Anolis sagrei: one gene and its partners. The protein of the gene in region 1 interacts with the protein of each later gene in a pairwise test. Links are inferred from orthologs where the notes say so. Each region holds a gene or a part of one and is shown on either strand. Other genes may lie near its edges.

The links. The genes of interacting proteins can lie anywhere in the genome.
Region 2: the proteins of CEP63 (region 1) and PPP4R1 interact in a two-hybrid assay, tested with the Homo sapiens proteins (2 studies listed by BioGRID and IntAct). The link is inferred for Anolis sagrei from reciprocal best matches to the Homo sapiens genes CEP63 and PPP4R1.
Region 3: the proteins of CEP63 (region 1) and NDEL1 interact in a two-hybrid assay, tested with the Homo sapiens proteins (2 studies listed by BioGRID and IntAct). The link is inferred for Anolis sagrei from reciprocal best matches to the Homo sapiens genes CEP63 and NDEL1.
Region 4: the proteins of CEP63 (region 1) and GSE1 interact in a two-hybrid assay, tested with the Homo sapiens proteins (2 studies listed by BioGRID and IntAct). The link is inferred for Anolis sagrei from reciprocal best matches to the Homo sapiens genes CEP63 and GSE1.

Annotation. Positions count from the first base shown.
Region 1 is NC_090023.1:225,698,485-225,705,979, reverse strand, and holds the start of CEP63 (centrosomal protein of 63 kDa), read left to right. Parts: upstream 1-4,489; 5' UTR 4,490-4,577; intron 4,578-4,591; exon of another isoform or gene 4,592-4,884; intron 4,885-7,495. Other genes in the region: ANAPC13 (anaphase-promoting complex subunit 13), read right to left, coding at 138-263, 808-906. UniProt on the Homo sapiens protein: Required for normal spindle assembly.
Region 2 is NC_090024.1:64,871,011-64,878,371, reverse strand, and holds the start of PPP4R1 (serine/threonine-protein phosphatase 4 regulatory subunit 1), read left to right. Parts: upstream 1-4,349; 5' UTR 4,350-4,577; coding exon 4,578-4,584; intron 4,585-4,685; exon of another isoform or gene 4,686-4,883; intron 4,884-5,022; coding exon 5,023-5,067; intron 5,068-7,361. UniProt on the Homo sapiens protein: Regulatory subunit of serine/threonine-protein phosphatase 4. May play a role in regulation of cell division in renal glomeruli. The PPP4C-PPP4R1 PP4 complex may play a role in dephosphorylation and regulation of HDAC3.
Region 3 is NC_090022.1:125,981,887-125,989,791, forward strand, and holds the start of NDEL1 (nuclear distribution protein nudE-like 1), read right to left. Parts: upstream 3,013-7,905; 5' UTR 2,824-3,012; intron 1-2,823. UniProt on the Homo sapiens protein: Required for organization of the cellular microtubule array and microtubule anchoring at the centrosome. May regulate microtubule organization at least in part by targeting the microtubule severing protein KATNA1 to the centrosome.
Region 4 is NC_090028.1:25,201,310-25,208,466, reverse strand, and holds the start of GSE1 (genetic suppressor element 1), read left to right. Parts: upstream 1-4,145; 5' UTR 4,146-4,553; coding exon 4,554-6,641; intron 6,642-7,157.

The sequences.
Region 1 (7,495 bases):
GACCTATGACAATAATTTCTTGTGATTTAAGCCTAGACATTTTCCACATACACCTTCCTTCCATAGCAAAGAAGGCTGAAAAGAACAATAAGAAATACATTTGCAGAGAAATTGCTGCACGAGACATTGACAATAGACTAGTTTCCTGTTGGAGGAATATTCTCATGAAGATATTGCAAAGCCAAGTCAGACCATTTCATTTCTTGTTCTTTTACTGATTCTGTTGTTCCACCATTGTCTTGCTCTGGTTCAGGAAGCTCATTCTGGGTGCAGAAATATATTAAAACTGTTTTAAAATGCTGAGAAAAACATCTTTGCACTGATGAACATAGGAACACATAGAACAAAATAATCACAAACAAAGAAAATCTTTTGAGTAAACATTCTTAGAATTCATCTGCAGTGGCTTGCTGACAAAAGTTCTATATGTACACACACAGTAATCTTGAAAGCCACTATGCATTTCTTATGAGATGTAGTGAGAAGTAAAATGCGCCGATCTGGGAATGAAACTGAAATAGATCTAGGCTCTACTTATGAACTATCCACACGTTCATTCATCTGCACTGCCACTACGGTTTTGTTTTGGTTAATTTATTAAGGTTTTTTAGTTTTTTTAAAGATTATTTATCTTTGAAATTTCGATGTCACCTTTCTCACAGCATGGGAAATACGGTGGTTTACAATATTAGAACTTATTGTTGCAATAAGCACTGGGAGCGGTTTGGACGAATGGTAAAATATATGGTTGTAAATAAAAAGGATGGGGAATATCAATTCAGAGTCATACCTGGAATATTTACTTACCAATGGGATTGCCACATCTTCATACGGTAATTTATCTTCTCTCCATGCATCGTCAATCAAATCTAGGATCCTCCCATCCCTCTGTACCTCACTGTCCATCTTTGCTTTAAAGAGAATGAATAAGATTTGTGGTGCATAGCATTGATGTTTTACTGCCTCATGTACAGAGGAAGAAGTGTTGGAGGCTACAGACAATGCCGTTGTTGTTGTTGTTGTCCTTTTTTGGTCAAAACATATTTAGCTTCTTGTGCTCCTATTTTTATCAGTTTTATACTAATTTATGCAATGCTTTTGATACAAAATAAAAATAAATGTTTTACTAGTCGTTTATCTTTCTGGAATGTGTCCAGAGGAGGGTGACTAAAATGATCAAGTCTGGAGACCATGAACTGGGCCTTCAGAAGTGAATTTATTTATTTATTTATTTCCGGTATTTCTATCCCATTCCTTCTCAACCCGCAAAGGGGAACTCAGGACAGCTTACATCTGGCAGCAATTCAATGCCACTACATATAACACAGCAATAGAATAACAATTAAAACAATAAGTAAAACATTCATTAAAACAGTAAAAAACAGTATTAATAGCCGTAACATCGTTCCAGTCAATTCCATATCCAATTCCATGTCCAAAGTGCTATCTATGCCTGTTGTCCAAAAGCCTGGTCCCAGAACCACAACTTCCATTTCTTCCTAAATGACAGGAGGGATGGAGCAGATCTTACCTCAGTGGGAAGCGAGTTCCATTGATAGGGGGCCACAGCCGAGAAGGCCCTGTCTCTTGTTCCCTCCAGACATATTTGTGACGTTGGCGGGAGCAAGAGCAGGGCCTCCCCGGATGATCTTAAACTGAGAGGCGGGACGTAGAGGGAGATGTGTTCGGACAAGTAAGCTGGGCCAGAACCGTATAGGGCTTTATAGGTCAAAACCAGCACTTTGTATTGAGCTCGGAGAACATTGTACTCTGAATTATCTCCTCCAGCGGCTTCATGTAGAAGTGAAGACTGAGAGAAGACATGATCACCATATTTAAATATTTGAAAAGATGCTATAAGGAAGAGGGAGCAGGATTGTTTTCTGCTGCCCTGGAGAATAGGACTTGGAGCTGTGGGTTCAAATTACAGTAGAGGTTATTTTACATAAACATTAAAAAGAATTTCCTGACTGTTAAGAGCTGTTCAGCAGTGGAACTCTCTGCCTCGGAGTGTAGTGGAAGCTTCTTCATTGGAGGCTCTTAAACAGAGGCTGAATGGTCATCTGTTGGGGGTATTTTGATTGTGCTTTTCCTGCATGGCAAGAGTTTAGACTAGGTGGTCCATGCGGTCTTTCCAACTCTATGATTCTCCTAAATACATTCCTTCATAGGAACTCATGGTTATGTAAATGAAACATACATGGAAAAAGCTTATTATAGATTCCTGGGAAATACCAACACTATCTTTCATCTCCATTTTTATATGCTTTCCATTTTTTCGACGAGTTACCATCTATAAAGATGTCTGCCCCGTTGTTCCATATGTGGTAAGTTTACTTAGGGTCTTTGGTGGCAGTATCAAAAACTTTTTGTGAATACAGATTTTTGATTCCCGCAGATCCCTCCCTATTTATTACGAGAATGATACCAATAAGATAATTCCACTGAGTAGTAGCCTTACAGGGTGGCTCATAAGGAATAGAATCATAGAATCATAGAGTTGGAAGAGACCTCGTGGGCCATCCAGTGCAACCCCCTTGCCAAGAAGTAGGAATATTACATTCAAAGCACCCCCGACTGGTCATCCAACCTCTGTTTAAAAGCTTCCAAAGAAGGGGCCTCCACCAGACTCCGGGGCAGAGAGTTCCACTGCTGAATGGCTCTCACAGTCAGGAAGTTCTTCCTAATGTTCAGATTTATTTACTTATTTATTTATCGTGTCAGTATCAACCAAACAATTGTATTACATTTTTAACAAACTTTTAACAAACAGACAAAACAAAGTTTGCAAGCTTGGTAGCTGATTAAATGTCCTTTGACCAGTAGCTGGCCACTTGGACTGCCTCTGGTGTTGCTGCAAGGAGGTCCTCCATTGTGCATGTGGCGGGGCTCAGGTTGCATTGCAGCAGGTGGTCTGTGGTTTACTCTTCTCCACACTCGCATGTCGTGGATTCCACTTTGTAGCCCCATTTCTTAAGATTGACTCTGCATCTTGTGGTGCCAGAACACAGTCTGTTCAGCGCCTACCAAGTCGCCCAGTTTTCTGTGTGCCCAGGGGGGAGTCTCTCATTTGGTATCAGCCATTGATTGAGGTTCTGGGTTTGAGCCTGCCACTTTTGGACTCTCGCTTGCTGAGGTGTTCCAGCGAGTGTCTGTAGATCTTAGAAAACTATGTCTTGATTTAAGTCGTTGACGTGCTGGCTGATACCCAAACAAGGGATGAGCTGGAGATGTTCAGATGGAATCTCCTTTCTTGTAGTTTTAAGCCATAATTCCATGTCCTAGTCTCCAGAGCAGCAGAAAACAAGCTTGCTCCCTTCTCCCTATGACTTCCTCACACGTATTTATACATGGCTATCATGTCTCCTCTCAGACTTTTCGTCTTCAGGCTAAAGATGCCCAGCTCTTTAAGCCACTCCTCATAGGACTTGTTCTCCAGACCCTTGATCATTTTAGTCGCCCTCCTCTGGACACATTCCAGCTTGTCAATATCTACATATCTACAATAAACTACTGTGTTTCATCTCACTGGTCATCCAGCCTCTGTTTAAAAGCTTCTAAAGGAGCCTCCACCACACTCCGGGGCAGAGAGTTCCATTGCTGAACGGCTCTCACAGTCAGGAAGTTCTTCCTAATGTTCAGATGGAATCTCCTTTCTTGTAGTTTGAAGTCATTGTTCCGCATCCTAGTCTCCAGAGCAGCAGAAAACAAGCTTTCTCCCTCCTCTCTATGACTTCCTCTCACGTATTTATACATGGCTTTCATGTCTCCTCTCAGACTTTTCGTCTTCAGGCTAAAGAAGCCCAGCTCTTTAAGCTGCTCCTCATAGGGCTTGTTCTCCAGACCCTTGATCATTTTAGTCGCCCTCCTCTGGACACATTCCAGCTTGTCAAGATCTCTCTTGAATTGTGGTGCCCAGAATTGGACACACTATTCCAGGTGTAGTCTAACCAAGGCAGAATAGAGCATGGGTAGCATGATTAGAAATAGAAAACATAGGACTGGTACATCTGAGCACTTAACTATTACAGTTAATTGATGTCAAGCTGCATTTACACAAGGCATAGGGAAACTTGGGCCCTCCAGGTGTTTTGGACTTCAACTCCCACAATTCCTAACAGCCTCAGGCCCTTTCCTTTCCCCCCTCAGAAGCTTAAGCGAAGGAAGGGGCCTGAGGCTGTTAGGAATTGTGGGAGTTGAAGTCCAAAACACCTGGAGGGCCCAAGTTTCCCCATGCCTTGTGTAAATGCATCCTGACTTCCCTATGTGGATACTTGTGGCCACTTGCCTGCCTATGGATTTTTCAAAGGAAGGAAAAGGTAACTTGTGGAGCAAGCACTTCCCACCCTCTCACCTGAAGCGCCTCAACACCACTGGCCTCTCAACCTCAGGAACAGAGGACGTGACGTCACAGGCGGCCACTCTAGGCGGCGGTAACCACAGAGAGACAGAAGCGGCGGCGAAGGGGCGGGGCTCCAAGTCCGCCCCCAAACACTATCAACGGGGCTTCTTAGACCGCACGTAACGGATGAAGGAGTCGGTTGCAGCTTCCGGTGTCTGCCAGAGCGTGAACGGAAGTGAGGCACTTGTGTTGAGAGACTCTTTTTTCTCTCTCTCTCTCTCTCTCTCTCCTCCTGAGAAATTTGAATCTTCATTCCCTCGCTCTGGAGTGTCTCTCTCCTGCGTCTTTCCCTCTCTATGAAAAAGGGAGCCATTGCCCCACAATGAGCTCCTCCTCTCTTCCTAATGGGAGCTCCAGTCTTTCATCTCACTGACCACAAGGACAACTTTGAACTTATTTCAAAAGGGAGGGGGAGAGAGGGTTATTTCCAGGCCTAAATCCATATTGTTAACCGCAACCCAAAATATACCAGTGGGAATTTGGTAAGTCTGCATTTATTCAGTTGTTTAGTTACACAAATGCAACCACACTGACAAATTAATACTGTTGGATACCACTTTAAACTGCCTGGCTCAATGCTGTGTAATCTTGGGAGTTGTAGTTTGACAAGGTATTTGGCCTTATCTGCCACAGAGTGATGATGCCTCACTAAACTTGGGAAGTCAGATCTGGCCACAGTGGTCTACGCTCTTGTTACATCCCGAATAGATTACTGCAACACACTCTACGTGGGGTGGCCTTTGAATATTGTTCGGAAACTTCAACTAGTCCAGTGGGCGGCAGACAGATTACTCCCCAGAGCGTCATACAGGGAGCATACCACCCCTCTGTTATGTCAGCTCCACTGGCTGCCAATCCAGTTCCGAGCATAACTCAAAGACCTCACCTCTGAGGATGCTTGCCATAGATGCAGGCGAAACGTCAGGAGAAATGCCTCTAGAACATGGCCATATAGCCCGAAAAAACCCACAAGAACTGAGTGATTCCAGCCATGAAAGCCTTCGACAATACATAACTCAAAGTGCTGGTTTTGACCTACAAAACCCTATACGGTTCCGGCCCAGCGTATCTGTCTGAATGCATCTCCTTCTACGTCCCGCTTTGAAGTTTGAGATCTTCTGGGGAGGCCCTGCTCTCGGCTCCACCTCTATCACAAATGAGATTGGTGGGGACGAGGAGCAGGGCCTTCTCGGTGGTGGCCCCTCACCAGTGGAATTCACTTCCTGGGGAAATTAGGTCATCGACATCCCTCCTCTCCTTTAGAAGGAAGCTAAAAACATGGACGTGGGACCAGGCCTTTGGGTGATCTGGCAGATAGACAAAGGACAACAATGACTGGAATGGATAGGATTTGACAATGTGGAATGAATTTATGGATTCCCGAAAAGCTGATGAGTTCTCAGGAAGTACTAACCAGGCCCCCTCTGCTTGAGCAATAACAGATTGTGTACTACGGGTTGAATATCCCGTATCTGAAGTACTTGGGCCCAGAAGTGTTTGGAATTTTAGGATACTTGCATACACATAATGGGGCATCTTTCAGGTGGAACCCAAATCTAAACATAAAATTAATTTACATTTCGTACACACCTTATTCACATGGCCCAAAGGTGATTTTATGTACAGTATTTTTAGTAATTTTTTTAATAGAACAAACTTTGTATATTAAACCACCAGAAGGCAAAAGGCCACAGTATCTCAGCCACCCATGTGAATAGGTTTTGGTTTTGGAGTATTTCAGAATTCCAGTTCCAGAGAAGGGATTCTTACCTGATGATATGTCGGTTTTGAAATAAAACAAACCTACAGTTGAATACAAATGCTTAGAATCAAACTATTCTGCAGTTCTCTCCAGATATGGAGAAAAGCCAATTCGACTTTTCAAATAAAGACATTTAGTGATTGCAATGTAGACTTAACTTTGTATTTAGTCCATATGAAAATATAATATTATATAATTTCTTCAGAAGCATGCACATGTCTTCATGTACTGTGAATTGATTTGTACAGCGTATTTTATGTGTTCAAGGTCTAACTGTATAAAGATAGGAGGAACTTTGTGGTGATATTAAGGAATAATAAGTAGATGTGATGCATTGTATTAGTAATTGGGGCTAAGTAGCACTTATTTATTTAATCTGAAACCTACCTGTTGTGTATTTATTTATGACATTGATTTGAATTCAGGAAATGACATTCACTTAAGAGTAGGAGCACTGTACAGGTTGAGAAAAACTCACCATTGAGGAATGGGCAAATTCAGTAGGCAACAGTAAAAGCTGCAGTCTGCGGAATACAATGATGCACAACTCAGTGCATTATTGAATACCCAATCCAGTTCTCCCCAAACTTTTTGTGATAATTGGATTTTAAAAAAAAATTGGCTTGTTGTGAAAACAGTGGAGAGCCCTTTTCCCCATGATAACTCTTTCAGGAGTGAATTTCCAATCCAAGGGGTACATTTCTCTCATTTCCTCTTGTCTCTCCCCCATCCTTAACTATGAGTCATTAGTAAGTCGGATGTTTGTAACTCGGGGACTGCCTGTATTTGAATTGGATGCAGAATCATAGTAATTAATCTATGATTTGTCTGTTAATGTGTGAATATTGACATAAACACTGGTATGATATTACATATATCTACTTCTTAATTCATGGAGGACCCAGATCATTTATGTTACCATTGAAATCAGTGCAGTGGGTTTTTAAATGTATTTTTTCTGCACCTATCCATGTTATGAAATGATCAAGACTTAGATCAGGTTGGTCAGTATGGGCAGGAGTCTTGATTTTGGTCTGAGAATTGTAATGTGAAATCAGTGCTGGGTTTGTTGCGATAGTGTGGTGGTATTAATACAAAGCTGCCACTTCTAGAGATCCCCAAAAACAGTAGTGGGGTTTTTTAATTGCCCAACCAACTTTGGATGCAGTGGCTTTGAAGAGGTTTTTTTTGGAGGCGGATAGATGTTGAGAGCTACACAAAAGGGAAATGAAAACCAAACTGACAAGTGAATCTTTTTTATTTCCATGTGCTTTGTAAATAAAATGTTTGTTGGTTTTTAATATGCTGTACCGTAAATGTGAGCTACTTAT
Region 2 (7,361 bases), on another chromosome or scaffold:
GTTGGGGAAAAGGTTTGTTTATTTTGTGTCAAAAGTATTGCATAAACAAACAAGTATAAAACTGATAAAATAGAGGAGTGGCTCGCAACCTGCGGGTCCCCAGGTGTTTTGGCTTACAACTCCAACCAATTTACCAGCTGTTAGGATTTCTGGGAGTTGAAAGCCAAAACATCTGAGACCCACAGATTGAGAATCACCAAAACAGAGGGAACACAAGCAGCTAAGTAATTTTAGACCAAAAATAGGCAACAGCAACTGCATTGTCTATAGCTTTAAACCAGCAGTTCCCAATCTGTGGTCTATGGACCATCAGTGAATGAGAATATGGTCCGCGGCTTCACATTACTACGCAGTTGCCTCAGAACCACGCAGCGAGAGTGACTGGTCTCACGAAATCCTCTTATGGTGCCAAGGCAACGGGGATGTCTGGAGGGGAGAGGCTGATTACCCACAAAAGATTACTACGACCACATCAGCTGTAGATTATTAAATATGGTTTTCTGTGAGCGAGCAGATGGCAACTACTGGATGGTATTTGTTTGGTATAAGAAACTAGATACAATGCGGTCTATCCAATGCAATTTTCTGAATCAGCACCCCAAATAACCAAACTGAATCTAAAGTTGACCAAAAACTGATCATAACCCTTTTGGTATTGATGTTGGAAAGTGGTCCCTGGTCTAAGTGGGCCCTGGTGAAAAAAAGGTTGGGAACTACGGTTTTAAACAGTTCTTCCTCTGTGCATGAGGCAGGGCATTGTGGGCAAGCATAGAGATGCTGAGTTGTTTGTTCTGCTCCACAGTAGCACAAGGTGGACGATTCTTCTAGATCAGTGGTTCTCAACCTGTGGGTCGCCAGATGTTTTGGCTTTCAACTCCCAGAAATCCAAACAGCTGGTAAACTGGCTGGGATTTCTGGGAGTTGTAGGCCAAAACATCTGGGGACCCACAAGTTGAAAACCACTGTTCTAATTCATGCCATTTTGCCAGGTTGTCTTCTGATCTCCCAACACCACTTCTGAATCTGTTCAGGGACTTCCAAGTTGCCCCATTCTTGGTTTGTCCCTGGAGGAAGACCCTCATGGGGGCCATCCAGTTGGGATTTCCTGGTTTAGTTGCCCAGAGGGATTCTCCTGCTGTTGCTGCGGGGATGCCAAGAGGAGTGGTGGTTCTCAAGAAACTTTCCTTTGATTTGAGTCTACTGGGAGGAGGCTAATAGCCATGCAAGTGGGTAGCTTTCACAGTATTCAATCTTATTTCTCCCACGGTTGGGGGGGGGGGGATGTAATTGTTGTTTATTCATTCAGTCGCTTCCAACTCTTCATGACCTCATGGACCAGCCCAAGCCAGAGCTCCCTGTTGGCCGTCTCCATCCCCAGCTCCTCCAGAGTCAAGCCAGTCACTTCAAGGATACCATCCATCCATCTTGGGGGTGGGTGGGTGTAATGCGACCTAGCTTATAGAGCAGGCATGGGCAAACTTCGGCTGTTAGGAATTTGTGGGAGTTGAAGTCCAAAACACCTGGAGGGCCGAAGTTTGCCCTTGCCTGATTTAAATTAAATCCCCATTATTCCAACTATGGTGGCGCAGTGGGTTAAACCACTGAGCTGCTGAACTTGCTGACTGAAAGCTTGGTGTTTCAAATCCAGAGAGTGGGTGAGCTCCTGCTGTCAGGCCCAGCATCTGCCAACTTAGCAGTTTGAAAACATGCGAAGGTGAGTACATCAGTAAGTACCGCTTCTGTGGCGCAGGATTGTGGTGCAGCTGGCTGAGTGTCAGCTGCATTAAGATCACTCTGACCAAAAGATCATGAGTTCGAAGCCAGTCCGGGTTGGAGTGGGTTTCCAACCATTGTGTAGCCTGTTGTTGACCTTTGCAACCCGAAAAGTTGCAAAGGTCAACAACAGGCTACACAATGGTTGGAAACCCACTCCAACCCGGACTACAACCAGGCTACACAGTTGCATCTGTCAAGTAGGAAAATTAGGTACCACCTTAAAGTGTGGGGAAGCTAATATTAACTGATTTATGAGGCCATAAAAAGAAGACTCCAGCAAAGCATTCCTGCGGTGAAGCATGCGGGGAATGTGGAAGTGCTTCATCAGCGTCGCAGATGGACGATGAAAGCGACAGCTCCCCTGGCGGCGAGAAAAAGTTAAATAGCCTCTGTGTATGATTGTATGTAAAAAAATTGGCATTGAATGTTTGCCATATATGTGTACACTGTAATCTGCCCTGAGTCCCCTGCGGGGTGAGAAGGGCGGAATATAAAAGCTGTAAATAAATAAATAAGGTAACGGTGCTCCATGCAGTTATGCTGGTCACATGACTTTGGAGGTGTCTACAGACAATGCCGGCTCTTCAGCTTCGAAATGGAGATGAGCACCACTCCAGAGATTTGGACTTGACTAGACTTAATGTCAAAGGGAAACCTTTCCCTTTGCCTATCCTAAGTAAACTTCAGAGGCCCCTCCCCCTTCTGGCACCAACGACTGCTCTGGCCAGAGAGAAGACAGAGGGGAGCAGAAGACACTGCCATCTTGTCTTCTGCCTATATCATCACTTCAGAGGCCCCTCCCCCTTCTGGCACCAATGACTGCTCTGGCCAGAGAGAAGACAGAGGGGAGCAGAAGACACTGCCATCTTGTCTTTACTAATAATATAATATAGTATATTGTATATATATATAATATTTATAATATTATAATGTAATACAATATAATACTAGTAATAATAATTCAATATTATAATTATAATTATATATTTAATTACATGTAATATTACTAATAATATTACAATATAATGGTATAGTGCAATATAGTAATATATACTGATATTGTACTTTGCTAATAATATAATATATTGTATGAAAATATATATTGTAAGCCGCTCTGAGTCCCCTTCGGGGTGAGAAGGGCGGCATATAAGCGCCGTAAATAAATAAATAAATAAACAAACAGAACAAACTGGATGTGACTGTACTACAACGGTCATCAGTTCTAGTCCTGATGAGGAACATGGGAGTTGCAGTTCTGCCCAAGCATAAAAATGACAGGGCAGGGGAAAAGGATTCAACCTCACTACCTCTGAGGATGCTTGCCATAGATGCAGGCGAAACATCAGGAGAGAATGCCTCCAGAACATGGCCATATAGCCCGAAAAAACCTACAACAATCCAGTGATTCGACCTTGAGTTTGACACATAAGTCAAATAGTTGAACAGAGGAAGAAACTAAACAACCGAAGTAGGAAAATCGGTGCCAGGAGGAGACTTCGGGGCCAGGCAAAAGAGAAGTGGTGAAATGAACAGAGCAAAAGCCAGAAGAGGAATGTAAAAATCTGAATTCAGGGCAGGAGCTGGGAAGGAGACCTGGAGGGGTTGCAAGGAGGTTTCAGAGGGGTCTCCAAAGACCATCAGAAAATATATATTTCTGATGGTTTTAGGAACCCCTTTGGCAAAGAAGACTGAAGATATGTCAACCTGTCCTTCTCTTCCTTTTTGGAAACAGATGGTGAATCTTCCCACCAAAAGCACTCCTCTGCTCTGAACAAAAAAATTCCCTCAGGCACTAGCAAGCCACACCAAAAAACTGCCAGGCCATCAAATGCTAATCAAGGTGGTCAGTTGTAACATTCACACCTAGCTCCAGCAGACAAGGGTTCTTTGTCCCACTCTGGTCATTCCACAGATATATAAACCCATTTTCCTAGTTTCAAGAGACCTCACTACCTCTGAGGATGCTTGCCATAGATACAGGCGAAACGTCAGGAGAGAATGCCTCGAGAACATGGCCATATAACCCGAAAAAATCTACAGCAACCCAGTGATTCAATATTGAGTTTGACACATAAGTCAAGTAGTTGAACAGAGGAAGAAACTAAACAGCCAAAGTAGGAAAATCGGTGCCAGGAGGAGACTTGGGGGCCAGGCAAAAGAGCAGTGGTGAAATGAACAGAGCAAAAGCCAGAAGAGGAATGTAAAAATCTGAATTCAGGGAAGGAGCTGGGAAGGAGGCCTGGAGGGGTTGCAAGGAGGTTTCAGAGGGGTCTCCAAAGACCATCAGAAAATATATATTTCTGATGGTTTTAGGAACCCCTTTGGCAAAGAAGGCTGAAGATATGTCAACCTGTCATTCTCTTCCTTTTTGGAAACTTCGGGGCCAGGCAAAAGAGCAGTGGCGAAAAGAACAGAGCAAAAGGAGGCCTGGCGTGGCAAGCGGGGGCAAGGTATTGCTTCTAGTCCTCTGCAGAGCCGGCCTTGAGAGGCCCGCGGAGGCCTGCCTTCCTTTCTTTACTCTCTCTCTCTGTCCCTCCCTCTCTTCCTTCGGGCTGCCGGGGCTCGCCCTGGTTCCCTCCCCGGCAGAGGCGAAGGCGGGGGCAGCAGCAGCGGTGGCGTTGGTGTCCGGCCCAAACCCCTCCCTCCCTGTCTCTCTGCCCGCCTCTCCCTCTCTCTCGGGCGCCTGCCTTCGCGGGAGACTCTCCCGGGGACGCCCGGAAGCACCGCTTGGGCCTAGAAGGCCTCTCTCCGCCTCAGCCTCCCCTCCATGGTCGACCCCAAGCGGGGAGGCCTCAGGAAACATGGCGGGTAGGTTGCGCGCGCCTCCCTCTCCCCTTCCCTCCCTCCTTCCTTCCTCAAAAGAAGCACCAGGAAAAGAGGGAAGTCTACTCTTCACAGGAGACCGGCCTGAGGAAGGGGTGCCTCCTTCCTTCCTTCTCTTCCTGCTTCCCTTCCTTCCTTCTCTCCGCGCCTGCGTCGGGGACACGGTTGCGGGGGGACACACACATACATGTAGTGTACAAAGGAGGGAGGGAAGGAAGGGCTTGTGGGACGCCTTGGCCCACGGTAGGCCTCGCCCTTCGATTCCCCCTCAGCGCGAGGAAAAGGTGAGGCCTTCACGCCCCTCGGAGACAAAGAGGGCGAGGCCGGGAAAGGAAGCCCCTTCCCTCCCTCAGCTGCAGCTTATATTCCTGCCGTATTGTTTTGATGTAACACCCTTCCTCTTTCCCTCTCCCCCAAATCCAGATCTGTCGCTGCTTCAGGAGGACCTGCAGGAGGAGATAGACGGATGTGAGTACCGGCTTCTATCGACCACCTCCCTTTCCTCTCCTTTCCTCATTCCCAAGGCGGGGAGAAATAGAGAGAGACACACAGAGAGAGAGGTCTTGACATTGCCCAGGAGGATGGAGGCCCGGGTTGCATTGTGGGAGGAAGCAGCCATGCTTTTAAGCAGCGCCTTCACTCCAACACAGGCCTGGCTTGGTTTATAAAGTTCTCCCCCGCGCCTCTTTGTATGTTTCTTTCCTTCCCGCACCTCCCATTCGTTTGCTTTTTGATTCCCCTGAAGGCTGCTGAGAGGAAATGGGGAAAGCCATGAGTTTGATGGGTCGGTTGTGCTGTCAGCAAGGGCTGCTGCTAGTCTTAAGGAGGGGGTTTAGGTCAAGTTTTGTGCAAAATGCTTGTGTACAATAGAAGGTAATAGTATGATAGCTGGGTCCGGAAGCTAGGAGCGTGACAGTGTTTCCACTTCACTCCTTCAGAAGCGCTGTTTGCACAACGCGATATTATAGAAGGAATGTAAGAGTTCTTTAATGGTAAAACCCAAACCCTTACCCAAACCCTAAATCTTACCCTAATCCTAACCCTAACACAAACACTAACCTCAAAGCTTACCCTACCTTATCCTAAACCATACCCTAAGCCTAACCCCTAACCCTTACTCTAACACAAACCCTAACCCTTAAAGCTTACCCTACCTTATCCTAAAGCTTACCCTAAGCCTAACCTCTAACCCTTACTCTAACACAAACCCTAAACCTAAAGCTTATCCTAAAGCTTACTCTACCATATCCTAAAGCTTACCCTAAGCCTAACCCCAAATCCTAACCCTAACACAAACCCTAACCCTAAAGCTTACCCTACCTTATCCTAAACCTTACCGTAAGCCTAACCACAAACCCTAACCCTAAAGCTTACACTAAATCTTACCCTACCTTATCCTAAACCTTATCCTAAGCCTAACCCCTAATCCTAACTCTAATGAAAACCCTTACCCTACCTTATCCTAAGCCTAACCCCTAATCCTAACCCTAAAGCTTACCCTACCTTATCCTAAACTTGATCCAAACCCTAAACCTTTCCCTAAACATTTCCCTAAAACTTATCCTAACCCTCCCCTCCTTTCTGTCCTTCTACCCTCACGTGGTCCCTTTCCTTATTCACAACAGTCGTTGCAGAATGTGTGTAATGCTCGGAGCTTCTGGACCCAGCTATCATACTGTCACCTAGTAGAGTCTTGTATATCCAACTAGGAAAAGTATGATAGCCGGGACCAATGCTAGTTTTGTGATGTGGGTCAGAATTAGAGAAGTGAAGACGTTACGTATTTGAATGTGTTTGCATACGATATCCGGATAGCCTTAAGCACTATGCTTGGCTGTTTGTTGCCCCCCCCTTCTGTCCCCCCCTTTTTCTGGCAAACTATCTTGCCATGACTCTGTCGCACCTGCGTCTCTCACTCGCTGCCCTATCTCGGGATTGGGTCACAGCTATCATACTTTTGCCACCTTCGCTCATCCAGCGTTCTGTATTATCCAATGCAATCTGCCTTGCGCCCGGATCCACAGCTGTTTCAATACATTGCAATGTTTTGGTGCTAAATTTGTAAATCCAGTAATTACTACATAACAATACCATGTATTGAACTGCTTTTGCTTTCAATTTTTCCATGTATTGAACTGCTTTTTCTTTCGATTTGTTGTAAAACATGATGTTTTGGTGCTTAATTTGTAAAACCATAAATGATTTTTAAAAGGTTTTTCCTTAATCCCTCCTTATTATGCAACATTTTTGCTTATCCAACATTCTGCCGGCCCGATTATGTTGGATAAGCAAGACTCTACTGTAATAGGGATGGTGTTGTCCTGTGCAGGCGGCCTCTGGGTTACAAACAAGACTGGTAACTTCACTCAGGCACAGGCCTGGCTTGATTTATAAAGTTCTTCCTCTCACTGTTTTGTATGCCCCCCGCCTCTTTTCATTTTCTTTTTATTTCCCTGAGTGGAAATGGGAAAGGCCATGAGTTTGATGGGTCGGTTGTGCTGCCAGTGAGGGCTGCTACTAGTCTTAAGGAGTGAGATTTAGGTCAAGTTTTGTGCAAGATGCTTGTGGCAACAGTCATGTAATAGGGACGGTATTGTCCTGTGCAGGCAGCCTCTGGGTTACAAACAAGACTGGTAACTCGGTTGTTTTTTAAAATGTAGTTTTGGATAGCATAAGGAAAGGTTATTATTATTATTATTATATTTGTTTTTGAAGGCTTTGGCCGGAATCACTGCATTGCTTTGAGTTTTCCGGGCTTCATG
Region 3 (7,905 bases), on another chromosome or scaffold:
GCAACAGGATAATATTTCCAGTGACTCATGGGAACTCAGTACTCCGACATCATCAGTATATTTGTATATCTTAGCAACTGTTTGACAGCTGAACACCTTGGCTTTTCCTTTACCCAAGTTTAACAGGATAGTAATTAAGGCCCCTTCTACACTGCCATATAATCCAGACTATCAAAGCAGATAATTTGGATTTTACACGGCAATGCAGAAGGGGCCTAAGAGGCTTTAATTTTACAGCAAAATATCAAAATTAGTAAATAAGCTATTCTTGTTATTGAGATAATAATGATCCAATGTATATGATGTTTTACAAACAAACAAGAGAGGTCCCTTTCCAAGGAGACTGGAATCTGAAATGTGACACAGCAGAATGCTACAAAGAAAGATGCAAGTAAGACTGACAAAGGAAGAATATGTACAGTTGCACGTGACAGAAGCAATCACATTTGTAACAGTTTGTGAAAGTGCATCAAGGTCTAAGAGCAAAGACTGGTTCAGGGGAGGAAAACTGAAACCCTCAACCTACCCATGCTCCCTTACTGTAGATTTCTCCCCTATGTCTCTTAGGCTTCAATAATAGCAGTCAGAATGGAATGCAAACAGTGGAGAGACCATTCAATTCACCTTCCCTACATTTCCTCATGATATAAAATTATGAAGACACAATTTATACATATCAAATATAAAAACAAATCATGCTAATTTTTATCTTTTTGACTCAAACCAAGAGTGAGGGCATGAAACAATATATTTAATAGTGCACTACAGCATAATTCACAAAAAGTAAATATTCATAAGCTCTTTACAGTTGTGGCCAGCACTTTAACCTGATTTATGAAAGTTTTATGTGTGTGGGAGAGAACGGCAAATTACAGGGTCCAATAAAAAGGAATTCAGACTTCCCAGGATTTTACACAGAAGATGTGGGAAGAAGATCCTTATTCACACAACACATATTTAAACTCTAGAATTCACTAACAAAACCACCAATACTTATTAGTCATGATATTATATATTTCCAGTATTAGAAGTTGTATATTTTGTATGCCAATCATAGATAAGCACAAGTGTGAAGGGAGAGATATGACATGTTTTAGAATTTTTAATTTTAAAAAATTTATTGATTGATATTGTCCGTTGTTTATATTCAGTCAAAGTGTGCCTTGTTTTGATGATATATAATTCTATTTTATGTGTGGCACTTTAGTGCTTTGTTAGATATGCCGAGTCCCTTCAGGGAGATGGTGGCGGGGTACAAATAAATAATAATAATAATAATAATAATTGCTGATGCACTCATGTTCTGCTTGTGGGTTTTCAATTAGCATTTGTTTGGTCAACATGGGAACAGAAAGGAGATCTGATAGGCCTTTGGTCTATGTATAACCCTCAAAAGATTTGATACTGGCCTGAACTGACAAATAAGTTTTGTTTTAGGGAGTTGGGAAAGTTCAGCTACTGACCAGGGCACCCAGAACTTTATCATGATTTTACAATGAGGGAGGATGTTGCTCAACTACAAACGAGTTATCTCCAAAAAAATACACTTCTTACAGAATGGGAATCTGTCAGCTGTGACTTATTTGCTATTACTTCAGCCCCATTTAATGCAGTTTCAAACCAGAATTAAAGTATGCTGGTTTAGCTGTGCAGACGATTAAACAGGAAATTCTGGAACCAGTTTGCGGCCAGGATGGTGATGACAAACCACAGAGCATTGGTACATATGAAGGGGTTTTCTTTCATCCACTTCTGTGTCTGGCTGCCAGTCTGATGGTCAATGTAGATGGGGCCTTAGTTCTAGTAAATGACTCCCCAGCTCCTGCCTCCCAGGTGTTTCAGATTTCAGTTCCCAGAATGTCTGATTACTGGCCAAAGTATTTCACGCTTTTGGGAATTGGAATACAAATCACCTGGAGGCCTAGAGAGATGATTTCATCACACTAGAGAATGAATCCACTTTAAATCCGGTTTCTGCCTGCCACAGAATTCTGGGGTTTGTAGTTTAGTGAGGCTGTTAAAGGCTCCTCCCTAAACTACAGACCCCAGAATTCTGCAGAAGAAGAAACCGTATTTAATGTAGATTCATTCTCTAGTGTTATGAAGTACTTAGAGAATGGGTGTTCAGGTGGAAACCCCAGAACTTTAACGTGAGTCAAGCATGACCAAATAGAAAGACGTGGGGGAGGGAGATGTTGCCAGAGGCTCCCTCGACCCGGATGCTCTTCAGATGCTCCTAGTAGGCCCGGTCCTTCGAGAAAAGGCCAAGCGACTGGCCCCGGGGCGGGCGTTGAGCTGCGAAGAGCGGAAGGTGAAAGAGGGGAAGGAGTCGAGGCAGGCGGGTGCCCCTTTCGGCATAAAAGAGGGCCCAGGCCGGCGGGAGCTGGAAGAGGCAGGCGCCAGAATCGCGCGAGGCGGGTCCGAAGAGTCACGAGGCCACGCGGGCCTTGAAGGAGACGCCACGCGCGCGGCCCCCGCCTCCCAATTCGCCCCCCCCCCCACTCAGGGTGCGAGCGACACGCCAACGGTCACCTCGTGAACCCCCTCCCGGCTCCCTCAGGGGACACTCGCCACCGCCCTACTCCGTGAGTGACAGCGCTTCGAGCCAATCGCGGCGAGCCGTGCCGCTGGTTTCAACTAATAAGCGCCCGCTAAGGGGCGGAATCTGCCCCGTTGTCAATTAGCGGCCAATCGGGGAAGGAGGGAAACGGGAGCTTTTTCGGGAAGGGAGGGGGGCCCAGCCGGATTCGACAACACCGTGCCCTAGTACCCGGACATCCTCCCTGCCTCCCTCCCTGCCAGGCCCCGCCTGGTGCGCCTTACCAGCTGTCTCTCTCGCGGAACCTGCTGCTGCTGCTCCTCCTGCTACTACTGCCGCCTCCGCCGCATCCCCACACAGTCGCTGACACACTCCGAACCCAGCCTCATCCGGGGCAGCAGGCGTCAGTGATACGTCACAGAGGGAGGCGAGGCCCGGCACGAGAAAAGCTCAACGCCCTGGAGGGGCGGGGCCAAGAGAAAGGGGCGGGATCATGCAGATGAGGCGCCGCTGGCGGGAACCCGCGTCAGTTCTCGGTAGGCGGGGCCACAATGCTGCCTCGGCATTGTGAAATACGGAATGCAGGACCTGAACAGGCTTAATGCTATACCACCATGGGATTTGTAGTTATACAGGGCCTCTGTTGTTCTCTGCCAATGAGTGCTGGTCCCTTAAAAGGTAAAGGTTTTCCCTGACACTGTCCGATGGTGCTCATCTCCATTTCTAAGCCGAAAAGCTGGCGTTGTCCGTAGACGCCTCCAAGGTCATGTGGATGGAGCGCCGTTATCTTCCCGCAGAAACGGTCCCTCTTGATCTACTCACACTCGCATGCTTTCAAACTGCAAAGTTGGTAGAAGCTGGCGCTAACAGCGGGAACTCACCCCGCTCCCCGGATTCGAACCTGGTGCCTTACAAAACTACAAACCCCATTAACAAAGTCCTATTGATAATACTGGAGAACTTGTGTGTGTTTTATACATGCCACCATCGTTATGAAGGTATACACGGGATTATGCTTTAAACGGAGAGAAAAGATGTTTGACAGCTGTCAAAATTTTCACACGGCCCCCTCCCACATAGCTGAATAAAATCCCACATGATCTGCTTTGAACTGGAATTAATAGTGTGGACTCAGAAAACCCAGTTTAAAGCAGATACTGTGGGATTTTCTGCCTTGATCTTCTGGGTAATCTGGCTGTCTGGAAGGGCCCTTAGATCGTAGTGTTAGGACATGCCAAAAACTGTTTAATGTGGTGACATAAAGTGTTGATTTCTTCAAGTTTGTCATGTGATGAATGTTCTAGGAAAACAGGGTCAGGGTAGGATTTGATACCAGCTGAAAACATAAATTATCCTGTTTCTACCACAGGAGAAATAAACAAGGGCCTTCCACACAGCCCTATATCCCAGAATATCAAGGCAGAAAATCCCACATTATCTGAGTGTGGACTCAGGTAACCCAGATCAAAGAAGATATTGTGGGATTTTCTGCCTTGTTATTCTGGGATATAGGGCTATGTAGAAGGGCCCTTGGTTTCATACTGGTTCCCCCCTCCAGCCCAAAGCTACATAAAATGGCATGCAAGTCTGAGTATTCTCTCCACAGACAGGCTTTCTGGGGAAGAGACTGTATCAGAGTAGATCAGTAACCTTGGCAGGATGTGGTATGGTTTAGGCTAAGATGTTTACAACTGTACGTCATCTTCACAGGAAGTGAGCAGGAAGTTAAAACAGGAAGGAAGAGACGAAACAGACAGAATTGTTTCATAAGTATGCCAGTCTGACTGTCTCCAAAAATTACTCATGATAAAAATTCTTCTAAATCTTTTAAACAATAGTATGTTTATCACAAATATTGTTCCAAGCAAGATAGGTTTTTCTGTGTTAGTTTCAGCACATACTTTCTTATGTAGTTCTTTTTTTGCAATTTCCTTTTGGCTTCATTTCTGTACTTCCTGTTGCATTGTTTATTTGTCCAGTGACCTCTAATCTATCTTCTACCTCAGGACCTGTAACTCTTTCCTGAATTATCTGAACTTCACCTTGTCTGCTCTCATACATTACCTTTTGTCTCTTTGTTACTCACCTCAATCCCATTTCCTTTCTTATCTTATGTAAATTTCGCTAGCAACATTCTGTGGTTTGGCTTTAGTCACATGCTTTCTTAACATTTTACATCTTTAGCTCTTTTAATATGGTCTTATATGTACATAAGAGTTTAGGTTGAGACTAATATAGTTGCACTTGAGTCTCATTATATACAGTGTGAAAAGGCAGGTGTGACTTTAGACTACTGAGATATAGTTGCACTTAATGAATCTGAAACCCACCCAATATGCCAATTAGGCAAACTTCATTTTTCATTTGATTCATATGCAAAATGTAATCTAATCAGTGCTAGTTAATTCAGATTCCCCAGTTTTGTTTGATTTCAAGCTGGTACACTGCTAATCCCGATTAACATCATTTTACAAAATTCCTTCTAATGCTCTTGGGACATTTTTGGGGTGTTACTCTTTTTTCTCTACAGTATCAACAAAGATTTCTAATTATTGTCAGAGTTCATGTGTGTATTCAGTTCAATCAGAATAATTAGTGGAAGCTGGAATGATCCAGACAAAACTAAACATAGTGGACTAAATCTAATTGCTAGCCCCAACTAGGGTATCCCTATAGAATCAATGAAACTGACCTATGCATATGTGCTATTACATCACCTCTCAACTTGTGACCCCATTAATTTTATATGGTTTTCTTAGACAAGGAATACGTAGAGGTGACTTTGCCAGTTCCATCCTCTGAAATATAAACTACAGGACCTCATATTCTTTGGTGGTCACCCATTCAATTACTAACTGGGACTGATCCTTCTTAGCTTCCAAGATCAGATAGGCTTTGGTGCCTTTAGGATATTTAGGCCATGGGTTGACATACTATTCAGCAATTGGTTTTGTGAATCTGCTCTATCTGGATTTAGGCTTTTTATTCCCACTGGTTTGAACATGAGTGTTAAGTACACGGAAATCTACAGAGAAATGTTTTTAAGAAACACCTTATATTGTTGCACAATCTATTAATTCATAAAGGTTCAGCTGTAATTAATTAAGTTTTGACCAGAGGACAGTGTCCCATTCAAAGTCAACAGGTGGCATTTTAACCATTTAGATAGCAATGGCCCAAAGGATGAACAACAACTTTCTTGACAGTACCTACTTATAGTTAGAGCTACAGTTATCTTGTTTTCAAGCAGTCTCTGTACTAAATACTACCCAATCGCTGATCTGTGTGACTGGTAATTTCCTTAGGATTCACATAGGGAAATTGACTCTTCAGACATTTCAGACTAATGTATTCCTCATTATCCCTGAACATTTTTCATGCTGTCTGAGGCTAATGGGAGTTAGAGTTCAATAGCAACTGGGAGGGATAGGTTTCCCACCCCTGCCTGTACCAAAGAACTATGAATATCTGAAATGAGTGTTGCCAAAGGGACAGAGGTAGATTGCTCATCGTGTGGTAATGATCACAGCAGCATTCTTGGATGCTTCTCCGCACATTGCTGCACTTAAATTCCTATACTTAACTGTTCAGCCTGCCAGAATGCTGCTTGAGACTGTGACCCTGTAACCTTCTCTTCCCTGAGTGCAATTGTAGCTCAGCTGTATCTGAGGGAGCAGTGGACCAATGGCATGTGTCTATTCCCTTCACTTCCCCTGCATTCGCTGCTGCACCTGACACATGGCAACATCCCCTCCAAATTTGTCTTTGTCCATTGCTGACGGGGCTTTCATGGAATTAACAAAGAGACAGTGTTGGGGCCCCTGTTTCCAAACTTGCATTATAGGGGTTGCCTGTCTGGTTAACACTGATTTAAAGTTGATGTTTGTTTTCAATGGACTTTTTAAAAAAAAATCTTTTGCTTGCACCCTGTTGTAATCTGCACATGTTCCCAGGCATTCTTGATGGGCCTGGAGTCCTTAGACTCACAAAGGCACAGTCGCTTAGCATTAATTCTTCCCTGTGCTTAGCAGCCATTGGTCTCCTTTAGCTGCGGTGGGGCTGGGCTTCCCAGGCAAAACCAAGTCATCCATTGAAAAGCAAAGGGATAAAAGAGACATAATAGATTCTATTGAAGTGAGATTTGTCTCATGGGGTTGGAGGTGGGGTGATGGGGGTGTGGAGGAGCCTGAGAGCAGAGACTAAGGAGTGTCTCATGAAATTCGGGGTCAGGAAGTCTCCCAAGGCTTTTGCTCTCTCTGTTTTGATCACATGAGAATGCACATGGGGTGGGCATTTTATCTGAAGGAGCAAGTCTGGGAAGATAAACAACCTTTCACAACCTGCTAGCACTGTTGTGAATGCAATCTATTCAACAGTATATACACTGGCTCTGTGCAACACCTGTTTTTCTTTTGGTGTGCCCACTACCTCAATCTGAATTTGTAATCTTTGCTGTTGGAATGTTAAAATCCCAGTGTTGAGGCATTTTGATTCAGGTGTGTTGCCTGAATGAAATCACATGGCTATGTATGATGACAAAAAATAATGTCTAGGTTGTAAACAGTTACCTGTTTTGATGAGCTTAGAAAGTTACTTTCTTTGGACTACAGTGGTCACACTGACTGAGAGTTCCTGGAGGTTATAGTCCCAAATAACCTTTCTAAGTCAAAAGGTATGACAGCAATTCTGATGGGAATGCTTGAACAAATAAATCACCTCTGGCAATAATTAATAAAGGTGGAATCTAGAACTATGTCTGTCCAGTCTTCCATGCCCCTTTTTCAAATAGACTGTGCTAAAGTTCCAAACAAGCAATGGAGATCATAGACACATCATCTCCTTGTGATCTTAAGGTGGGATGGCACATCTTGCCATTTTGAGGCATTGCCACCCTGTTCAGACCACAGGCCGCCCTAGCTGTGATGCTGTAGTATGATTATCATTGTCTGAGATCAGAGGTAGAAGATACGATTTATTAATCCTTATGTGACCGATGTTATTTCTCATATTGTCTAAGGAGCCACAAGATTCCTTTACATCAAAATCAGAAACTTCAAGTTTTGCTTTTGGCAAGTCAATTTTTTTGACATAAAGTACCTATAATGGGTCCCTAGTAGCCAAGATGACTAAACTGTTTCTGTTGTATTTGGCCATGTCATGAGACAAAATTACTCACTTGAAAAGTCAATAATGCTTGGTAAGGTGAAGGGCAGCAGGAAAACAGGAGGAACACATTCAAGATGGATAGACTCAAAAAAGGAAACAATGGCTCTGAGTTGGCAAGACTTAAAATGTGTTGTTGATGATAGGTTGCTTTGGAAGTCTGTCATTCATGGGGTCAAAGTTTAAAGCATTTAACAGCAAGA
Region 4 (7,157 bases), on another chromosome or scaffold:
TACAATGAAAGAGCATTCTGAACCCCACCAAGGATAGAATTGAACCAAACTTGGCACACAGAACTCCCATGACCAACAGAAAAACTGGAAGGGTGTGATGAGCATTGACCTTGAGTTTTGGAGTTGTAGTTCACCTATATCCAGAGAGCACTGTGGACTCAAACAATGATGGATCTGGACCAAACTTGGCATGGATACTCATTATGTCCAAATATATGCCACTGGTGGAGTTTGGGGGGAAACAGACATTGACATTTGGGAGTTGTAGTTATTGGGATTTATAGCTCAAGCAAAGAGCATTCAGAACTCCATCAATGATAAAATTAGGCCAAACTTCCCACACAGAACCCCCATGACCAACAGAAAATGCTGTGTTTTCTGATGGTCTTTGGTGACCCCTCTGACACCCCCTCGTGCCTCCTCCAGGGGTCCCGACCCCCAGGTTGAGAAACATTGTTCTACGGGTTTTACCAGCCTTTCCTCTCAATCCTGTTCTGCCCCGTATTATTTTCCCTTCCTCAGTGAGATCCTATGAGAAAAGACATGTCAATGGTATACTAAACGCTTTGCATAATGCATGGGCTCTCTCTCTCTCTCGCTATATGTGTGTGTGTGTGTGTGTATATATATAGATAGATAGATAGATAGATAGCAGATACATTGGGATTTTTCTGCAATTGAATGCAGAACATATTTGGCAAATTTGATAAAGTTTCTGTTCCTGGTTTGAAAGTTTTATTTCCTGTTCAAATGTGCTGGTACTTTATAATAATAGATAATAGTATTGTTAAAAAGAAGGAGGAAATCCACAGATTGGATGGTAATATAATTTTGTAACATTATAGCGTGGATACCGAACCTGTGGATACAGCAGGGCAACCATACAGTGAAGTTTTAAAACAATAATAATAATATTTTATTATTGTTATTATTTTGCAATATATTAAAGGTGTGGATAGTTGAACCGTGGATGCGGAATCTTTGGCTAGGGTAGCCTGAGTGTGCAGCAAAGTTTTGCAAAGTTTGATAATATTAATATTAATAGTATTTTGTTAAAAGGAAAGGGGGACCTTGCAGATAGGGTGGTAGTAATAATAATTTTGTAATATTTTCTATGTGTTGAAGCGTGGATACTGAACCTGTGGAGCCAGCAAATCAACTGTACAGTTAAGTTTAAAAACTGTAATAATAATATTTTATTATTATTGTTATTATGTTATAATAGTTTTAAGGTGTGGATATTTGAACCGTGGATGCGGAATCCTTGGGTAGGGTGGCCTGAGTGTAACAAAGTTTGATAATGATAGCAATAATAACTTTTATTATTGTTATTATTTTGTAATATTTTCAAGGTGTTATAATTTATCATTATTAATTATCAATTATTGTTAGTAATATTTTATTATATTATTGTATTATGTTTTATTATTATCAGTTATTAATATTTATGATTGTTTTTATTATTTTGTCATATTTTCAAAGTGTTATTATCATTACTATCAATTATTGTTAATATTTTATTATATTGTTGCATTATTATATTATTGTTGTATTATATTTATTATATTTTAATATTTTATTATGTTCAATTATTATTAATAATATTTTTATTATTGCTGTTATTATTTAGTAATATTTTCACGGTGTGGATAGTTGAACCGTGGATGTGGAATCCTTGGGTAGGGTTGCCTGAGTGTACAGCAAAGTTTTCCAAAGTTTGATAATAGCAAAACAACTATTTTTATTGTTATTATTTTGTAATATTTTCAAGGTGTTATCATTTATCATTATTATTATAAATGATGGTCAATAATAATATTTTATTATATTATTGTATTATTATATTTTTATTATGATCAATTATTGCTAATAATATTTTATTATATTGTTGTATTGTTATATTATTGTTGTATTATTTTTATTATTTTATTATGATAAATTATTATTATTAATATTTTTATTATTGCTGTTATTGTTTTGTAATATTTTCAAGGTGTGGATAGTTGAAGCGAGGATGCAGAATCCTTGGGTAGCGTGGCCCGAATGTCCAGGAAAGTTTTGCAAAGTTTGATAATAACAACAATAGTATTTTATGAAAAGGAAGGGAGGAGAGGGAACTTGCAGAGAGGGTGTTCTGAGTGTATAGCAAATATTTACAAAGTTTGATAACAATAATAATAATAACAATAATAATAATAATAATAATAGTATTTTGTGAAAAGGGAGGAGGGAGGGGAGGGAATCTGCAGAGAGGGTGGTCTGAATGTATAACAAAGTTTTGCAAAGTTTGATAATAATAATAATAATAATAATAATAATAATAGTATTTTGTGAAAAGGGAGGAGGGAGGGGAGGGAATCTGCAGAGAGGGTGGTCTGAATGTATAACAAAGTTTTGCAAAGTTTGATAATAATAATAATAATAATAATAATAATAGTATTTTGTGAAAAGGGAGGAGGGAGGGGAGGGAATCTGCAGAGAGGGTGGTCTGAATGTATAACAAAGTTTTGCAAAGTTTGATAATAATAATAATAATAATAGTATTTTGTGAAAAGGGAGGAGGGAGGGGAGGGAATCTGCAGAGAGGGTGGTCTGAATGTATAACAAAGTTTTGCAAAGTTTGATAATAATAATAATAATAATAATAATAATAGTATTTTGTGAAAAGGGAGGAGGGAGGGGAGGGAATCTGCAGAGAGGGTGGTCTGAATGTATAACAAAGTTTTGCAAAGTTTGATAATAATAATAATAATAATAATAATAATAGTATTTTGTGAAAAGGGAGGAGGGAGGGGAGGGAATCTGCAGAGAGGGTGGTCTGAATGTATAACAAAGTTTTGCAAAGTTTGATAATAATAATAATAATAATAGTATTTTGTGAAAAGGGAGGAGGGAGGGGAGGGAATCTGCAGAGAGGGTGGTCTGAATGTATAACAAAGTTTTGCAAAGTTTGATAATAATAATAATAATAATAATAATAATAATAATAATAGTATTTTGTGAAAAGGGAGGAGGGAGGGGAGGGCACCTGCAAAGAGGGTGGTCTGAGTGTATAGCAATTTTTTGCAAAGTTTGATAACAATAATAACAATAACAATAATAGTATTTTGTGAAAAGGGAGGAGGGAGGGGAGGGAACCTGCAGAGAGGGTGGTCTGAGTGTATAGCAAAGTTTTGCAAAGTTTGATAACAATAATAATAATAATAATAATAGTAGTATTTTGTGAAAAGGGAGGGAGGAGGGAGGGGGGGGAACCAGCAGAGAGGGTGGTCTGAGCGTATAAGCAAAGTTTTGCAAAATTTGATGATAATAATAATAATAATAATAATATTTTGTGAAAAGGGAGGAGGGAGGGGAGGGAATCTGCAGAGAGAGTGGTCTGAGTGTATAACAAAGTTTTACAAAGTTTGATGATAATAATAATAATAATAATAATAATAGTATTTTGTGAAAAGGGAGGAGGGAGGGGAGGGAACCTGCAGAGAGGGCGGTCTGAGTGTATAGCAAAGTTTTGCAAAGTTTGATAACAATAATAATAACAACAATAATAATAATAGTATTTTGTGAGAAGCAAGGGAGGAGGGGTGGGAACCTGCAGAGAGGGTGGTCTGAATGTATAACAAAGTTTTGCAAAGTTTGATAACAACAACAATAATAGTATTTTGTGAAAAGGAAGGGAGGAGGGAGGGGAGGGAACCTGCAGAGAGGGTGGTCTGAATGTATAGCAAATTTTTGCAAAGTTTGATAACAACAATAATAACAATAATAGTATTTTGTGAAAAGGAAGGGAGGAAGGAGGGGAGGGAACTGGCAGAGAGGGCGGTCTGAATGTATAACAAAGTTTTGAAAAGTTTGATAACAATAATAATAATAGTATTTTGTGAGAAGCAAGGGAGGAGGGAGGGGAGGGCACTGGCAGAGAGGGTGGTCTCAGTGTATAAGCAAAGTTTTGCAAAGTTTGCTGATAATAATAATAATAATAAAATAATAATAATAGTATTTTGTGAGTAGGAGGAGGTGGGGCGCAAGCTTGGGCGTGAAGCGAGCCTTGGACTGGATCCGAGTTGGGCGAGGAAAGGGCTGAACTTGTCCCGCCTGGAGCCCCCTCCCCAAAGACCCACCTCCTTCCTTCCTTCCTTCCCTCTTTCCCTCCCACTCACAAGCGAAGAACTTGGAGAGAGAGAGAGAAAGAGAAGCTGGAAGCAGAAGGACCCCTTCCTCCTCCTCCTCCTCCTCCTCCTCCTTCCAGAGAAGAGCCTTGGGGCGCCTACAGCAGCGCCCCTTTGCTGGGCCGGGGTCTGCAGGAGGGGACCCCCCCCCCCTTTGTTTTCTCTCCCCTCCCCTTCCTCCCTGCTTTGGAGGCGAAGAGCCCAAGCAAGCCTTGCACAAGCTCAGTGGAGTGAGGAGCAGAGAGGCAGGAGCCAGAGCAGCCCGCCCGGCGCCGGCAGAATGAGCCAGCGTGGGCTCAGTGCGGCATCTCTCCCCCTCCTTTGCTTCCTCCTCCTTTTCCTCTCTTCTCCTCCTCCTTCTTTCTGCCTTTCCTGGGGTCCGAGATGAGCCCCCCGGGCCCGGAGGAAGCTCCTCTCTCCCGCAAGCAGCGCCTGATGGCTGCGGTGGTGGAGGAGGAGGAAAGGCGAGAGGGAGGAAGAGCCAATGCCTTGGGGTCTTCTCCATCTCTTCCTTCACCTCCTTCTCTTCGAGGGTCTCCTGACTCTTGGCTGCGCTGCTTCGTCTGTGGCGGGGGGATCCGAAGAGGCCGAGAGCTCAAGCTGCAAGTCCAGGCTCCTCGTGGCTCTTCTTCCTCTTCCTCCTCTTCTTCCTCTCCTTTCTTCCCCTTTTTGCGGCACCAGGACCCTGCCCCGGGGGCCCAGGCGGTGAACAGCGAGGGCACGGCTCTGGTTTGTGCCGTGTGTCGCTGCTTCCTCACCGAGCAGTGGGACGCCTTCGAAAGGAGCCGGACCCCCGTCGAGAAGCGGCTCTATTGGCTCAAGAGGCCCCACCAAGGAGAAGCCGGGCCGCCCGGAGGACCCTCAGTGGGACCCCAAGACTGGGACTTCGAAGGCGGAGGAGCAGGCGAGGAAGAGGAAGAGGAAGAAGAAGAGGAGAAAGAGGCCCCTTTCCTGGACTCGGAGCTGTCCTCGCTTTCCGAGACCGAACCCCCTTGGGACGAGCCTTGGAGCCGAGAGAGGAAGGTGGGAGCACCCCAAGACGGGCTGGTCCCCAAGAAGGAGAGGAAGAGGCCGCAACCGCTCTTGGCGGGAGAGCGAGAGCTAAGCAAGCACACCTTTGCCAAGGGAGGAAGAGGAAGAGGAGAAGGAGGAAGCCAGGTGAGCAAGGCTTCCTTCCAAGAAGAGAGCCAAGAGGTCAACATCACGAGTGACAACGAGCACAAGGTCATGAATGGCTCCAGGCACCCACCATTGCCGTCTCTTTCTTCCTCGATGCAAGCGTTGTCCACGTCAGGGCCAAGCGAAGTGGCCTGCTATGTCTGTGGGACTCTCCTCCCACCGGGTGCCCGTCACCGGCTCCACGTCCAGAAGCAGGAGCAGGCCTCAGGGGCGCCTTTCTTCCCCTTCCTATGGCTCCACAGCCCCCCGCCAGGCGCCCTGCCCATCAGTCCCACCACCGGCACCACGGTCGCTTGTTCCGCCTGCGCCGCATCCTTGGCACAGCAGTGGCAGGGCTTCCAAGCGGCCGGCGTGCCCGTCCTGCAGCGCCTCTACGTGGTGCCCTTGGACCCGGCTGCCAAGCCCCGGGCGGCAACCCCACGGCGAGAGGCCTGCTATCTCTGCGGGGAGGAATATGCTGCCGAGGAGGGCCACCCTGTCCCAGCAAAGGTCCTCAACGGTGACGCCGAAGCCACCATGCACTTCCCCTTCCTCCGCCTCCTGCCCTGCCCACCCAACGCCAAGGGTCCCGACAAGCGCTGGGAGGTGCGCAGCTGCCCCAAGTGCTACGGCGTCCTGCGCGACCTGTGGGCCATGTACCGTGCCTCCCGCAATGAGGACTTCATCACCTCCGTCCAGAGCTTCCTGGGCAGGTATCACCGGGTCTTTGCAAGCATGGAGTCCGGGCACAATGCTGTCATCACATCCAGGCACTCTGTTTTGACCAAACAGGGCCCAGTGTCTATTTGTTACATTTGTGGGGCCGAATTAGGACCACCGCCGTTGGGTAAGGAGTGCCAGCTGAGTGTCAACCCTCCAGGCCGATTTGGCGAGAAGGAGCCCTTTTTCCCCTTCCTGACAGTGTACCCACCGGCACCTCGGGCCCGTCCGGCCGACTCTACGGGCACCGTGTCGGCCTGCGTGCTGTGCCACCATGACCTGCTGGGCCAGTGGATCCAGTACGAGAGCAGCCACGCACCGCACCCCAGCAGCCCCTGGTCCAGGCAGTACAAAGTGGAGGCCTTCGTCTGCTTCTTCTGCCGGCAAGAGAGGAAGCGGTGCCTGGGATTAAAAGCTGTGGAGGTTGCCCGCCTGCCTGTCTTCCTTTGCTCCTTCCGGGCACCTGGTAGTCTGCTGGTGGACGACGGTAAGCGGCTGACCATTGGAGCATGCCCAGAGTGTGCCGCTCTGGTGCTGGCGGGCAAAGCAGCTGTGCCCCAGGACCTTTGTGCAACACCGTCGTCTCTCCAAAAGGTAAGGTTCTCAATGGAATTGGAAAAGTGTCCTCCCTCTTGTGATGGCAACGTTGGACAGGGGACCTTTGGCCGGAAGCAGGTGCCAAGTGCCTGGTGCTTTCTAGCAAACCATTTGCCCCAAAGCCATTGACCTCTTAGTCAAAACAAGATGGGTCTGTGACATGGTGTGTGAGAGTGCCGAGAGTGCGGTTCTCTTGTGAAAAAGCAAACGTTGGCTTCTGGGAGGCCGACTGGCGCACAGGTGGTTCCCTCGCACAAGACCAGGAGCTGGGAGGAATGTGCCGCGCTGGGGCTGCTCCACTCCTGTTACTAAATCCTCCTGGAGATTAACTGTGTGTTGTTAGGGGTTTGGGGAAAACACTGCTTCCCAGCTCCAGTGTGCTGGGCTTTTCTCCCTGGGGCTGTTTTGGAGTCATGGGTGGTATCGGGTTTCCTCCTGACCTCACAGTACTAATTTGTGTAACGTGCAACACTTGGGCCTGTGTGTGCATGTGCCTCCGAGTCACCTGTTGAC